2 linked regions of the Mytilus edulis genome follow. The protein of the gene in region 1 interacts with the protein of each later gene in a pairwise test. Links are inferred from orthologs where the notes say so. Each region holds a gene or a part of one and is shown on either strand. Other genes may lie near its edges.

Region 1 (6,061 bases):
CTAAAATCTCAACAATTAACTTCCCAGTTTTGTCCATCTTTTACAAATTGCAAAAATAAATGCACACAATAATTTCTGAACTTACAGTATTTAAGCTGCTGACAATTATCAATAGAAATGAGATGTTAACTTTTGGTCAGGTTTTTGTCTCTTTTGTCATATTTCCCATTTCCTGTAATTCCATCCTCTATTTTAACACATGTACTTATAGTATTACCATTCCATTTATGATTTATAATTATTGTAATTATCAAATCATTTAGTAAGATACAGAAACTTTCTAAAAATCCAAAAAATTAGATGCTTTCATCATGTTCAATATCAATTAGGAAGTGTACAAAAGTCCGGAATATGAAACATTACCAGCTATACAAGATTTGTGGTGGATATACATGTACATAACATTGTTACAGTGGATAAAACTTCACCCCTATTTTTTTATGGAGGTGAACTAGTTTGACATCATGTCCGGGCCATTTAGTATTTTACTTGGAAAAGTAAGACTGATAAAGCCACAAATAAATAACTGTTTATTGTATGTACATACATTCTAATTTGGTAATTTGTAAAATATTATACTACATGTATTTTGAAAAAGTACATATATAGTTATTGATTTGAACAATTGCACCAATAAACACCTGAGTATTCAAGAAAAAAATTGTATTAATGAACAGCCTTATAATCAAGTTATTCTTATTGCTGGTCTTTTAATTTCACACCCATGCTTTTTAATAATTCCAGAGCTTCTTTGTGAGCCTTTTCATCATCAGGTTTATTTAAAGGTTGATCTTTCGCTCTAGTTAAATATTTCAGCGCCATATTATGGTTCTTCAATCTGAGGTAAGTTTTCCCTAACATCAATAAGTTCATACTGTAAAAATTAGGATCTGCTTCTTCAGCTTTTTCAAAATAAGCCAGCGCCTCTTCATAAGTTGAAGTTGGTGGTGAAGCAAACAGTGCTGAAGCTATTTGTCTCATGTACCAAGGCATGTCTGCAAATAGAAAACACCAATACCCAAGTGAGTACAATGATGTTGCATCTTTTGGGTTTAATTCATTGGCTCTCTTTAAATGTTCCTTCACATGAAAGGCATTTGAAATTCTTTTTTTCGTGCCTTCATATTCTGCTGTGTAATCAAGTAGTATGGCATACCATTTGTGAGAGGCAAAATTATTGTCATTTAATTCTAGAGCTTTCTTGACATATTCAAAGGCTTCAAAAAAGCAGGCTTTCTTTTCATTGGTATTTTGAACTAGTTTTCCTTTGTCGCTCGCAGCCCTTGCCAGTCTCCACAAAATTTCATCATTCTGACAATCCTTGTACTGAATTAGGAAATCATACAGTTTAAGTATCTCATTAGCTGTATATATTTTATCAGCTTCTATAACAACTAATTCTTCTTTGGTCAATTCTTTGACCTCTTCTTTCTTTCCAAACCCAAAACTTAGAGCATGGACTGTTGCAAAAGGTTGAAATGCCAGTACAGGAAACAATGGATATTGGATTTTCTTGAACTGTTTATATGATTCCTTTCTCTGGGACCTCAAGAATCTGTATGCCACGCCACATGACTGTCTAAATTTTGTAAAAAATTTCAATGAACTTTGCATCATGAAGGTGGCACGGTAGTATTTGCTTCCAACGTTTTAGGTTGCTCCTTTGTGTACCCTACTTAGGTGAATACTTATGACACTGTGATTGGACATTAAAATGGATTATCAACCAGAAACATTTTTTTCAAGTATTTTAACCAATTATGAGTCTGAAAAATAGCAATTTTCAAATGTAACTATTGAAATAAATCTTTTAGAATTTTTTTAGAATATTGCATTTACTGCGGCCAAATATGATGTAAATGACTGGTTCCCTTAGACTGGTGACAATAGCTAAAAAAGTAAACGGTCATGATGGTGTTTCTCATTTATTTTTGAATATCTGAATGAAAGTACTTCAAGTTACAGTAGGTTTTAGGTCTTGGGGAGTGTTAGAAAGTCATGAAAATCTGAAAAATGTTAACATTGTCGCCTATGGCAGGGAAATACTACCGTGCCACCTGAATATGTTGTCAGTGTAATCAGTGAGTAATCTCTGAAACAAGTTCGGTTCATTTATTTTCCGGAAAACAAGAATCAGTAATCAATAAATAGTAGGAAATATGGTTGACTAGAAAATATGGTTTTGTTCGTTTTATTTACAAAGATTTATCCTCTAATGTGTCATGACAGATTTGATTTCTACCAGAGTGTACAGTGCATTATGTTCCCGGATTTTATTCTCAATCTGCCCGTACTTTTATGTAAATTATATCTTGAGTCCTAAAATCTTTCTTTTATTCCCTATACATCGTGGAACAAAGCCGGCTTCAGAAAAAAATATATCAAAAAGTACGAAATCTCACGTAGAAAGTTATATTAAAATCAAACACAGATAAATCATCAACTACTGTATACAATCAACTTTGTCAAAAGATATTTCGGTGTGGTTTTTAAGATTGTCAACCACTTTAATGAAAAAGGGGGGATAATTAATGAGATACATGCCTCTAGTGGACTAACCTGCCTCAGCCTCAGGCAGATTTGTCAATCCCACCTCCAAGCTGTTGACATCTTATGATGTCCACTCAGATTTTGAAACAAATTTTAATTTGATAAAAGATTCTGAAAAACTGGTAATGTTCAACAACAAGTTCATTCATTTTTTAAAGATTTTTTTATGAGAATGTCTGCTTTGTTAACCAATTGCGCTAAAAAAAGACCTGCTGTTTTGTAGAGGTGGGGGAAGACCTTTTTGGAGATGTCAGGATCGGGTGTTCAGGATAGACCCTTTCGAGATCCTGGAATTCTTGTTTCCAATTTTGGAATGCTGGGATTTAAATTTCTTTAAATTTTGGACCTCAGGATTTCATGTTTGAAGCCAGAGATTTCGGGACCAACAGAGGCGGATTTAGGGGGGGCCAAGGGTGGAAAAATTTGGCTGCTTATATAGGGAAGCACTGGAGCGGGCCCCCTCTTAGGCAGTCAGTGGGCCCCCACTTATGAAATTTCTGGATCTGCCACTTATCAGGTCCCCTCTGACAGCCCCATCCCCCTCCATAGCGAAAACAATTACTTTTAATGAATATTGTTAGCAAATGAATACTAGAACACCTATCTTTTTTTGCACATATAAATAAGATGTAGTATTCCATTCCAATTCCAATGTACATGTATAAAAAGTAAAAAAATTACAATTCAAAGTATCAGGCCTTCACCACAGAGCCTTGGCTCACACGGAACAGCAATCTTTAAAGAGCCCTACAATAACTACATGTAAAACAATTTAAAAACTTAAAATTAAAGGTCTAATCTATGTAAAAAAAACAAGAAACAATTGTGAACCACACCAACAAACAACAACAGTCATTAACATTTATCAAGTTAGGCCACAATTAAAAATATTTCAGTTTGCCCAAACCCGACCCATGATGACTGGGTGTGGGTAGGTAGGTAGGCAAATTTTTTTTTCTTTTTTTTTTCCAAATTTGCATGAAAATATTAAAAGATCTTAAAACAGTATATCTTTTTTTTTCTCTGTCAAACCTTTGTAGAGACAACCAAAAGCCATGAATTTAAAACCTCTATAAATAAATTAGTCTACTATATGATTTGTATCCTGAGATGTTTATAACCCTGACAATTGCTAACTGTGTGAAAGGGCTGTTGGATTTGTGAAGTGATTTTCAACAGTTCCATCAACATGATCAACACGATGTTTGTGTAAAAAAAATATCAGCTGATTATGTAATGATTAAATTTGTTTGCAGTTTTTAAATCCTATTCTATTAAAATAGATTAAATGTCCTAAAATATTTATATGAATTTTTATCTACCATCCTTAGTTTGTGTCTTTTTTATGTTTTGAAAACAAATTTATATTTTACATTATCACACAGGTAAACTAATTTGGCTATAAATAGATCAAAGCATGTTCTGTAGAATCTCCAAACTAAAAACGTATTTGTTATAATTTTATTTCTTTAAATAATCAAGTTTAAATTTTTGAAAATAATCATTATTGATTAAATGAAATTGCATAAAGTTAACGTTTTCTGAAGACTTTATTTTTAGGTCTGACATGGTTCTAGGGGCTTCCTCACAAATTGTATAAAAATCCAATATGGCGTCCATAACATGTTTTTACTTTTGCACATGTGAAAAAATATTTCTGACAAAAGTCAGATTTCTCTTGTCAAAAGGGATTTATATTTATATTGCAATAAATTATTCAGAAGGAGTGACATTCAGTTAAGATTATATTTCTGATTCTGTGAGCAATTATAGTTTTATCTAATTCTCCCAAACAGCAACGTACTGACTGTCTAATGAGACTTGTAAATTTGAACTATTCGAATAAAAGGGCATCTAATTTACATGATAAAGGAAGATTATAATTAAAGACAACAATTTATCAAGAAATAATTCCTTTTTATTCAGTAAAAACAAAATCTTCTTGCAAGATTATAAATTCGCAACTTCCAGATCCATTTCCTGTCAGAATAACATTAAAAATATTCGATTGCACATGGTTTTGAACAAATCTACCCAAATATTCTTATCAGATATTCAATAACACGATGAAATTAATGTTGAGCATATAGGTAAGGGTTTGGTAGTACAAACAACTACAGCATAAAAAAACTGTGCCACTTCACTTGTTATACTTCTTTACGTTCGTTAAATCAGAAGATAAAAACAGAGAACATCGAATATCGATTAACTGCGTCTCTTATACGCTTTCTTTTAATCTTATTCACAATTACTTTCAAACGCAAAGACGACAAACATTAAGTTTTGTACGATGACGGAGCTGACCCAAAATAAATCCGGAAAAAAAAAATTCTTCCAAAAAAACGTCAAAAAAAGAATTTGAGTCGGCGGGTTTATTTTGGGTCGGTCGCGTTTGGGCAAACATACAATCTTTTTATTTTGGCCTTACAATGTATCAAGCCCTTTAAGTTAAAAAAAGGAAATGTGATATGATTGCCAATTAGACAACTCTCCACAAGAGACCAAATTACACCGATATTAAACATCTATATGTCACTGTACTGCCTTCAACAATGAGCAAAACCCATACCATATAGTCAACTTTAAAAGGCCCAGAAATGACATGTTAAACAATTCAAATGAGTATTGTCAAATTTGTTATACATTGAATTTGTAAAATAAGATTATATGTTTATAATCTAGTGGTTCTTTTTTTCAGGATGGCACAACCACTATTGTTAGATTCTACATGGAGAGACCAACAGAAATTTGAAAATGCAGAAGCTGTTTATCAATGTACAATTGCTGGTACATCTGTAAGTCTGCATAAAACTATGTACACTAATTTAGATCTTTGGGCAGGAGTAACAAATTTGTTTAGGCCAAAAAAATTAATATGTGTTTCCGTAAACGTCCTGAAAAAAATTAAAGTAGGCAATATCAATCTTTTAACAAACAATTTTTAGCTGGTTGCTATTAGGGAAGTATTGTGACTTTAAAGATGCTTAGTCCAAATTGGCATAAAAAGAGTTGGGTAGGCACTAAAAATTAAGGTAGTCAGGTAGTTAGGGTTAGCGGAAACATGTATTATTATTTTTGGCCTTAGATCTTTGGGCAGGATTAACACAATGTATGATGTGTATTAACCTTACTATTTCAGCTTTTACTAGCTATAGGATTCTGATACCAGTATTCATTTGTATTTGTACATGTTGAATTTTTCAAGATATCCATAGAAATGATATAAACTGTAAACGGATACATGTTCATGTGCTTGCTCTTAAGGCCTACATCGATTTGTCCTACTCAGGGTTAGTAGAGTTTTCTCAACTGGCAATGGAAGAGTTTTGGTTGCCCACATGCACATTTATTAGCACTGATCTTTTAACTCAAGTCAACCCGAGTTGGACGATTCGAAGTAGGCCTAGATGAAAGCATGTTTTATTGGAATTTGGCAAAAAACAGAACAACTTCTGTTGATATTTCACAAATATTTTTTTATAGATTCATAGTTATCATCAAAATCATTTAA
Region 2 (7,353 bases), on another chromosome or scaffold:
TCAGATGAATTCTTATAAAGGAGATTGTAAGGGATTTCAATATTCAACATGTTCCTCATCTAAATTTTATACTTCTATTGAAATATATTAAGACAGTTATCTCATAAATGCAAATTGCCATTTGAATTTACTTTTGTGGAATTCTTCAGAGGTTTTGTTGTTCAGCTTTTAGGGGTTATTGTGGCCAAGTGGACTCAGTACATGTAGTTCATCTTTTTTTCAAACTTGCACATGCTACTTGAACATAATTTTAACATTATAAACATTGTTTCATTTTCACATGTATTTAAAGATCTTTTGTTACCTTTTTTTTTTAAATTAATTTGTCAAGTTGAAAACATGACATTGATGATCAAAAATTTCAATCACAAAAGTATTTAGATACCTCAAGTTGGGCATTTGTTTCTAAACTGATTTCAAAAAGATCAGACGAAAAATGTGTTAATAAAAGTGACAAAAATACTGTAAATTTAAAACTACTGTCTGCATTTAATATTGAGAATTCCATGTTTCTCCCCATGAATGTGTATGAGTGATATACATATTGAAATTGAAGTGTTCTGTTTTAGTGTATACTGGCTATGATTGTTTTTATTTAGTTGCTCACAGAGTTAACATTCCACAATGTATAACTATAATGTACTGCTTTGGAGAAGCAGAATAAAATTGGAAAATATTTGTGTGTTGTTTTATTTTGATTTTATGTCATATGTGCTTTATGTTACCTGATTGTTCTTGATGATAGGCTTGGCTGCACAAAGGGTAAATCTTGTGGATGATGAAACATGTGTCTAATTTTTGAAATAAACTCCTATTTGATTTCTTCCTAAAGCCTTCAAACTTTAACAATGGTTGTGTATACATTGAAAATGTGCACCATTTAGTGTAGCACCCAGTTCCTACATTTTTCTCAGATTATGATCCTTTGACAATTATCAGCAGACATTCAGACATACTGTATAGCGGGTTATTTTAGCGGGTGTAAAATTTCGCGATTTTCATTGAAAAAAGTATACAAAATATTTTGTCTGTTATTATTTTGGCAGATTCAGAACTTTTATCAATACCTTTGCATCTACACTTTAAATTGGCAGAATTTATTTTGTCGATTTTGTTCTATCCCTGAAAATAAGCGAAAATTTACACCCCGCCAAAATAACCTGAGTTCCCCTTAAGACATTCACATAATAGAATAACATGTGGTACAGACAGCCAGACTTGTTACAAGCACATTTTATGTTCACACTTTATCTTCCTAGACCATATGTCTTAAAGAACAATCCAATAAAGAAAAAACAACCTGCAGTAAAGCTACAAACTGGATGGCCACTAGCTTGATGAAGGAAATAAAACATAATTTGGGAACAAGTGGAGCTCACATTCCATAGTATTAGTATCATAGCTTTAGTAGTCATTCACAAGACAAGTTAACATATAGACTGATGGGGTGGGGCTCTGAACACGGACAGACTTATGGACCACTAAGATCATAAAGATTGGCTAGGTTTGGACACAGACCACTTTAAACAACATTACAAATAACATGTATAAATTGTTTTATATTGAAACATAAACATGATAAACAATATGTTATAAAATTTCCTGATAAATAAATTATCGTTGTTTTATACTGAACATGGTGGAAAACAAACCCACTTTTTATGTAATCAATTGATATTTATGATAAGACATTAAGATACGAAGTACTCTTCAGTGTTGGTTATACTAAACTTCTGACACATCAATCTAGCAATACATACAAAAATCAATATAGGTTTGAAGAAGGCTTATCTTTTTAATTAAGACACAGATTTAATTATATAAGTATTCTCTGTGGAAGTGTTTTATAACTAAGATAATTAATTATTTATTAATTTATGTCATAATCAATACACAATTCCCAATTTATAGCATGTTTCAAGTATGTGTGGTCATGGGAAAAAGTATTTTGGATAAATAATCGAAAGATAACCAATAGCAATAAGATAATAGTTAAGCAATGATCAATTGAATAAGAATGTGGTAAAAAAAAACAGAAATTAAAAGTTTTGTTTATTCTCAGTGAATTTCTGAACAAAAGAAATCATGAATTTTAGATGTTTTTATCACCATACAAGTGTGAAGACCACTGTGATTTGTGGTTATATCTTTTAAACTCATGACAGACTACAATATTTTGAAGAGATATTTAATACTGTTGTATCATCATCATTTTCACCTCCTTCTCTCAACATAATTATAAAATCAGATAAAACATACTTTATAACTTATCAAAAGCTGCAGTAGATTTGATAAAAACATTGCAATTACTTTGAGGGCAAGAAATAATTTTTTTTTTAACTATGAACATGATGAATTCAAATTTATCAGCACAAAATGTAATTGTGAATGTTTAGTGAACCTTTAAATTCTATGTAATGTGGCAAAAATCCAAAATAAATAAGTTATATATACACTGATATTCTTCAGTTAACATGACATGTATTTTATTAACTAATTGTTGATACAAAAAAATAGTTTAAATAAATTAATTATTTTTATTTAGATTTTTAAAAGCCATAATGAAAACAAAGGTACAAAACTGCAATTGGTTAATTGAGTCCTTGTGTTCAGTTGAAAAATTGCTTTTTTTGTCATCATCAAAAGACTTTTTTTCATTATACTCTTGATCCATCATAATCCAAAACATAGGCATGATAGGTGTATTAACAATTTACACAAATTACAAATGTCCTAATAAGATATACTCCTTTATGAGTTTTGGTAATGGTAATTGTTCCACTTTTTTCATTAAATGAATGTTTTGTGATGAATGAATCAATGAATTCCTGATAACAAGACAAGAAAGAGTTCTCAAAGTTTGAGGAGATTCTGCACAATACTTAATCAGTACCATCAGCTCAGGGTGGAGAATGAGATTTTGGAATTTTTCACTTTGGCATCTTTTAATTAAAGTTATGTCCACTGATGCACCTGCTTCTAACAGCATTTCTGGAATTTCTTTACAAGTGCTAAATTGGAGGGCTGTAGAAAGTGGGGTATGACCGTTTAATCCAGTATGATTTGGATTGGCTCCATTCAACAGTAGCAAGCGGGTAGTCTGTACACAGTTTGCACGACATGTCAGAATAAGAGGTGTCCAGCCTCTGATTTGCACAACATCAACCTTTGCACCTCTACGTACCAGCTGGGAAGCTATTTTACTGTTGGCATGCATGGCAGCCATGTGAAGGGGCCTAAGATTAGCTGTATCTTTTATATTAACATCACATTTATCACTGATCAGAATCGCTTTCACCATTTCATAGTTATCCATATCAACAGCATGTAACAATGGAGACCATCCACGGTCATCAACAATGTTCACATCAAATCCACCTTGAACAAGAAGTTTAACCATTGGGACATCTTCTTTAACAATGCACTTGAACATAATTGTTAATTTTAGTCGCTCTCTCTTTTTATATGGTTTTAAAATGTATGTATAGTTGAAAACATCCACTATATATTTTAGATTCGTGTTACATCCATTTTGTACTAAAGCTTGCACAATATTAATTTGATCATTTTCTATTGCAGTTTCCACCATTGTTTTTCCAACTCTTTCTGGTCTTTCGTTGCTTCTAAAAGCATGGTTAACATCCAAGCCTTTCTTCAAATATTCACGTAGTGTTTCAGCATCACCCTGAATAATACATCGGTGTAAGTCATCTTCAAAATAATCCATTGTTTCTCAATTTTGTCACAAAAAGTAGATATTTTCTATTCCAAATTTGCTGTCAGCCTGAGTGTCCTAAGTCATCCCCAATCCGTATGTGCTCCCTGGCAATAAATCAAAGACCGGAAGAATCAGGTACATTGTGTATTGACTCTTCTTCAACATAATGAGGCAAATTAATATTTTATTTCTCCACTATAGTTATGTACTGGTATTTCTGAACAGCTGAACAGTGTTCTGTTTGGAATAAATGTATGCATAATTAATAATTTGAGATAGTACCACATTTTGCACAGTATATGAAATATTAATTCATACATATGATAAGCAAATTATCCATGACAATGAACTGAATTTGTGAAATCAGAAAAAAAAAACCTCAACTGTCAAGGGAGAAAGTCAGCTTTTAGAACGTCCATGCGTAACTTAGCAAATGTAAACTTCCGGCAGGTGCCCGTTTAATTAAAAATACGGAATCACATATAAACGAAACAATGATACGATCAAAGCTAATGCTTTATTAACAATGAAAAGACATGTTATATTACATGTCTTTCAAATGAACTATAAATTTGTTTAAGCTTAGTAGTCGGTTTCTGCAAAAAGTAAGGATGACTTTAAATACTTTACATCGTTTTTAAAGTAATTCGTTTCGGAATAAAAGTACATATGGCGGGAAATTTTCTATTGTGAATGTTGTTTGTAAATAGAAATTTGCTGATACCGGCATTTAATAGATTCATCAGTTCAGCGAAGTTAAGTACCATGCCACCAAAAAGAAAGGTAAAAATATATAAATATAATCAGCTAAAAAATGTTTTGTCAGTTTCTAAGCTCTGTGTGTGTGTGTATGTAAAACATTGTGAAATAAATATTTTATATGCAAATTGAGAAAATAAAGTATCTTCAGTGCTCAGACCCTCAGTGGGAAACGAACTCTGTAACAGGAGACAGTTTGACCTTAGTATTTGTATATGTATCAGTATCTTTCTTTTATTATCTGTGTGTTTTATTTGGTAAAGTCAGCTATAATGTTAACTCAGCCTCAGGTATTTATACATTGTAATGATGAGTTTTTTTTATCGTGTGTATAAATCAACAATACGTGTGTCTACTCTTCGAACACACCTTTACCAACAAATCTACACTCTACTTCTGATAATTGACATTGATCTCAATATCCCTTTAGTTAACTAATATTTCTTGCGAAAATATTTTAATCTAAACAACTATTGATTACTACCAAGAAGAAAAGAAAAGCTTTTAATCATTTATCTTATGTAAAACACTGAGAATCCTTACTGATTAACCAATAGAAATCAACTACACTTTTTAGGTTACCCTGGATACAATCATGTAAGCAAAATAATAACAATGAAAATGAATTGTAAATTGAAATTAGCCATCCTACATATAATTTCAAATATATAAAAACCGATTTCGCTACACGTCCATGGTTCAGCCTTAGTTGATTCAGTCTTGGTCGTCTAGTCCATGTACCACTTCAGCCATATGATAAAAGAGGATAGTAATGCCTTTGACATCAGGCGTCAAACAGTCATTTTCGGCTACCGTTAGCGTCAAATTGGTTAAAATTTTACAGTGATTTGTCAAAATATCCTTATCATTTCTGTCATTTTTTTAAAAAATAACTTGATTTGTCAAAATCAGTCAATGTTTTTTTATCGTCTGAAGGATGTAGTGTACATTTTACTGTCATACACCTAAAATTACTGTGAATGTCATTTGGCAAGAATTTTTACCGTTTTGTCATGAAGGTACCCCCATTACTACCCTTATAAAAGTTCTGGCAATATTTTCATTTTAATTTATACTTTTAAAATGAGATTGTTTTGTTTCATAATTTATAATTTAATTCATATACTTTTTATGCCTTTAAAAATAAGTTCACATTAGGAAATACGACATCTGATTTCCCCCATAATAAGAATATAAAAATTAGTCCTGCTTAGTCAGTCAGTTATTCTTGTCATGTTTGTATTACAGCTTTGAGACATGATCGAGCTGGCTTTATCAGCATCATCACAATGTCAGATGAGAAGTTTTCATTGACATTACAAATTATTGGAAACAATATGAATACGAAAGTTTCAGTTTGATCCAGTTCACACATATCAATAAAAACATAAGCTCTTGAGAGCTTTTTACCTTTCGGCCATGGTTCAGCTGCATTTAATTCGCCTTCAATTGTTGGTTTTGTCCATGTTCCTCTATCATGACTATAATGCTATGTAATAAAAGTTGTTTCAGCAATATTTTCATTTTATATTTTTTAAAAGAGAATTAGTTGTATATACTTTCATTTATTATATTTATATCAAATTGAAAATGGAAATGGGGAATGTGTCAAAGTGACAACAACCCGATCAAAGAGCAGAAAACAGTCAAGCCACCAATGGGTCTCCAATGCAGTGAGAAACATTCGCTCCTTGGCATGCTTGAGCTGGCCCCTAAACAAAAATGTATACTAGTTCAGTGATAATGGACTCCGAAATATACGCAAGAAACTAAATTTAAAAATCATACAAGACTAACAAAGGCCAGAGGTTCCTGACTTAGGACAGGCGCTAAAATGTGGTAGGGTTAAACATGTTTTTTGAGATATCCCCTTATAACTCTAGCCAATGTAGAAAAAACAAACACTCAACAATACACACAGTAAAACTCAGTTTAAAAAAGAAGAAGAGGTAGAAATATACCTTTAATAACTTTTAAAAAAACTTTATTGCACTTTTATAGTAATGATGATTTATTAGAAAAATGTTTCAAAAGGTTATGTAGATGCTGAGACTGAATATAAATCATTTATTGGATTGAAATCGCAGGTAGAGGGCACTCCTGATTTAAAACGCATACCATTTTATCACTTGAGCTCATCCAATTATCTAATTAAATATACAAACATACATATATCCTGTGGAATCAAATATCTTAGTAATATACAAATGATATAAAAATTACAAAAGTATTTAAGAAATAATTGATGCAAGCTATACTTTATTGTAGTTTTAACATGGGTAGGCATTATATTCGTGATTATTTTTGCCCGAGCGATAGTGAGTAAGTTCAGTACAGCATTGTTATATATTTTGAAGCCGAACAATAATTTAATTTAGTAGATGTGGTGTATATATTTTTGAAAATTCAATCTTCTGATAAAAAGAAAGAACATTTTAATTTTTTAAACTCTGGTGGATAGTTGTCTCACATGTCTCATTGGTAATCATACCACATCTCCTTATTTTAATATTTAATGTGCTTTATCATTAAATTTGTTTATCCAATAAAATCATTTGATTGATTATATTATTATAGAAGGCAGTCACAGATGTTGAAGCAACAACCAAAAAGACAACAGAAGCAGAAGATGAACCAACCACCAAGAAGACAAAGATAGAAAAGAAGTCCAGCACAGCAAGTACAGATCTGCCTGATGATGTAGATACTTCATTCCCAACACAGATTAATCCTGATGCTAAAACAAAGGATGGAAGGAAATTTACCAAGACTATTGTGTCGTGGAATGTTAATGGTGTCAGGGCTTGGTTAAAGGTAATTTACCAAGACTATTGTGTCCTGGAATGTTAATGGTGTCAGGGCTTGGTTAAAGGTAA

Evidence for each region.
Region 2: the proteins of regulator of microtubule dynamics protein 1-like (region 1) and exodeoxyribonuclease-like interact in a two-hybrid assay, tested with the Caenorhabditis elegans proteins (2 studies listed by BioGRID). The link is inferred for Mytilus edulis from reciprocal best matches to the Caenorhabditis elegans genes F33H2.6 and exo-3.

What each region holds. Positions count from the first base shown.
Region 1 is NC_092355.1:30,360,793-30,366,853, reverse strand, and holds regulator of microtubule dynamics protein 1-like, read right to left. Parts: upstream 1,620-6,061; 5' UTR 1,618-1,619; coding exon 697-1,617; 3' UTR 514-696; downstream 1-513. Other genes in the region: elongation factor 1-delta-like, read left to right, coding at 5,250-5,345.
Region 2 is NC_092353.1:832,584-839,936, reverse strand, and holds the start of exodeoxyribonuclease-like, read left to right. Parts: upstream 1-4,353; 5' UTR 4,354-4,411; coding exon 4,412-4,501; intron 4,502-7,054; coding exon 7,055-7,291; intron 7,292-7,353. Other genes in the region: ankyrin repeat and SOCS box protein 8-like, read right to left, coding at 2,723-3,727.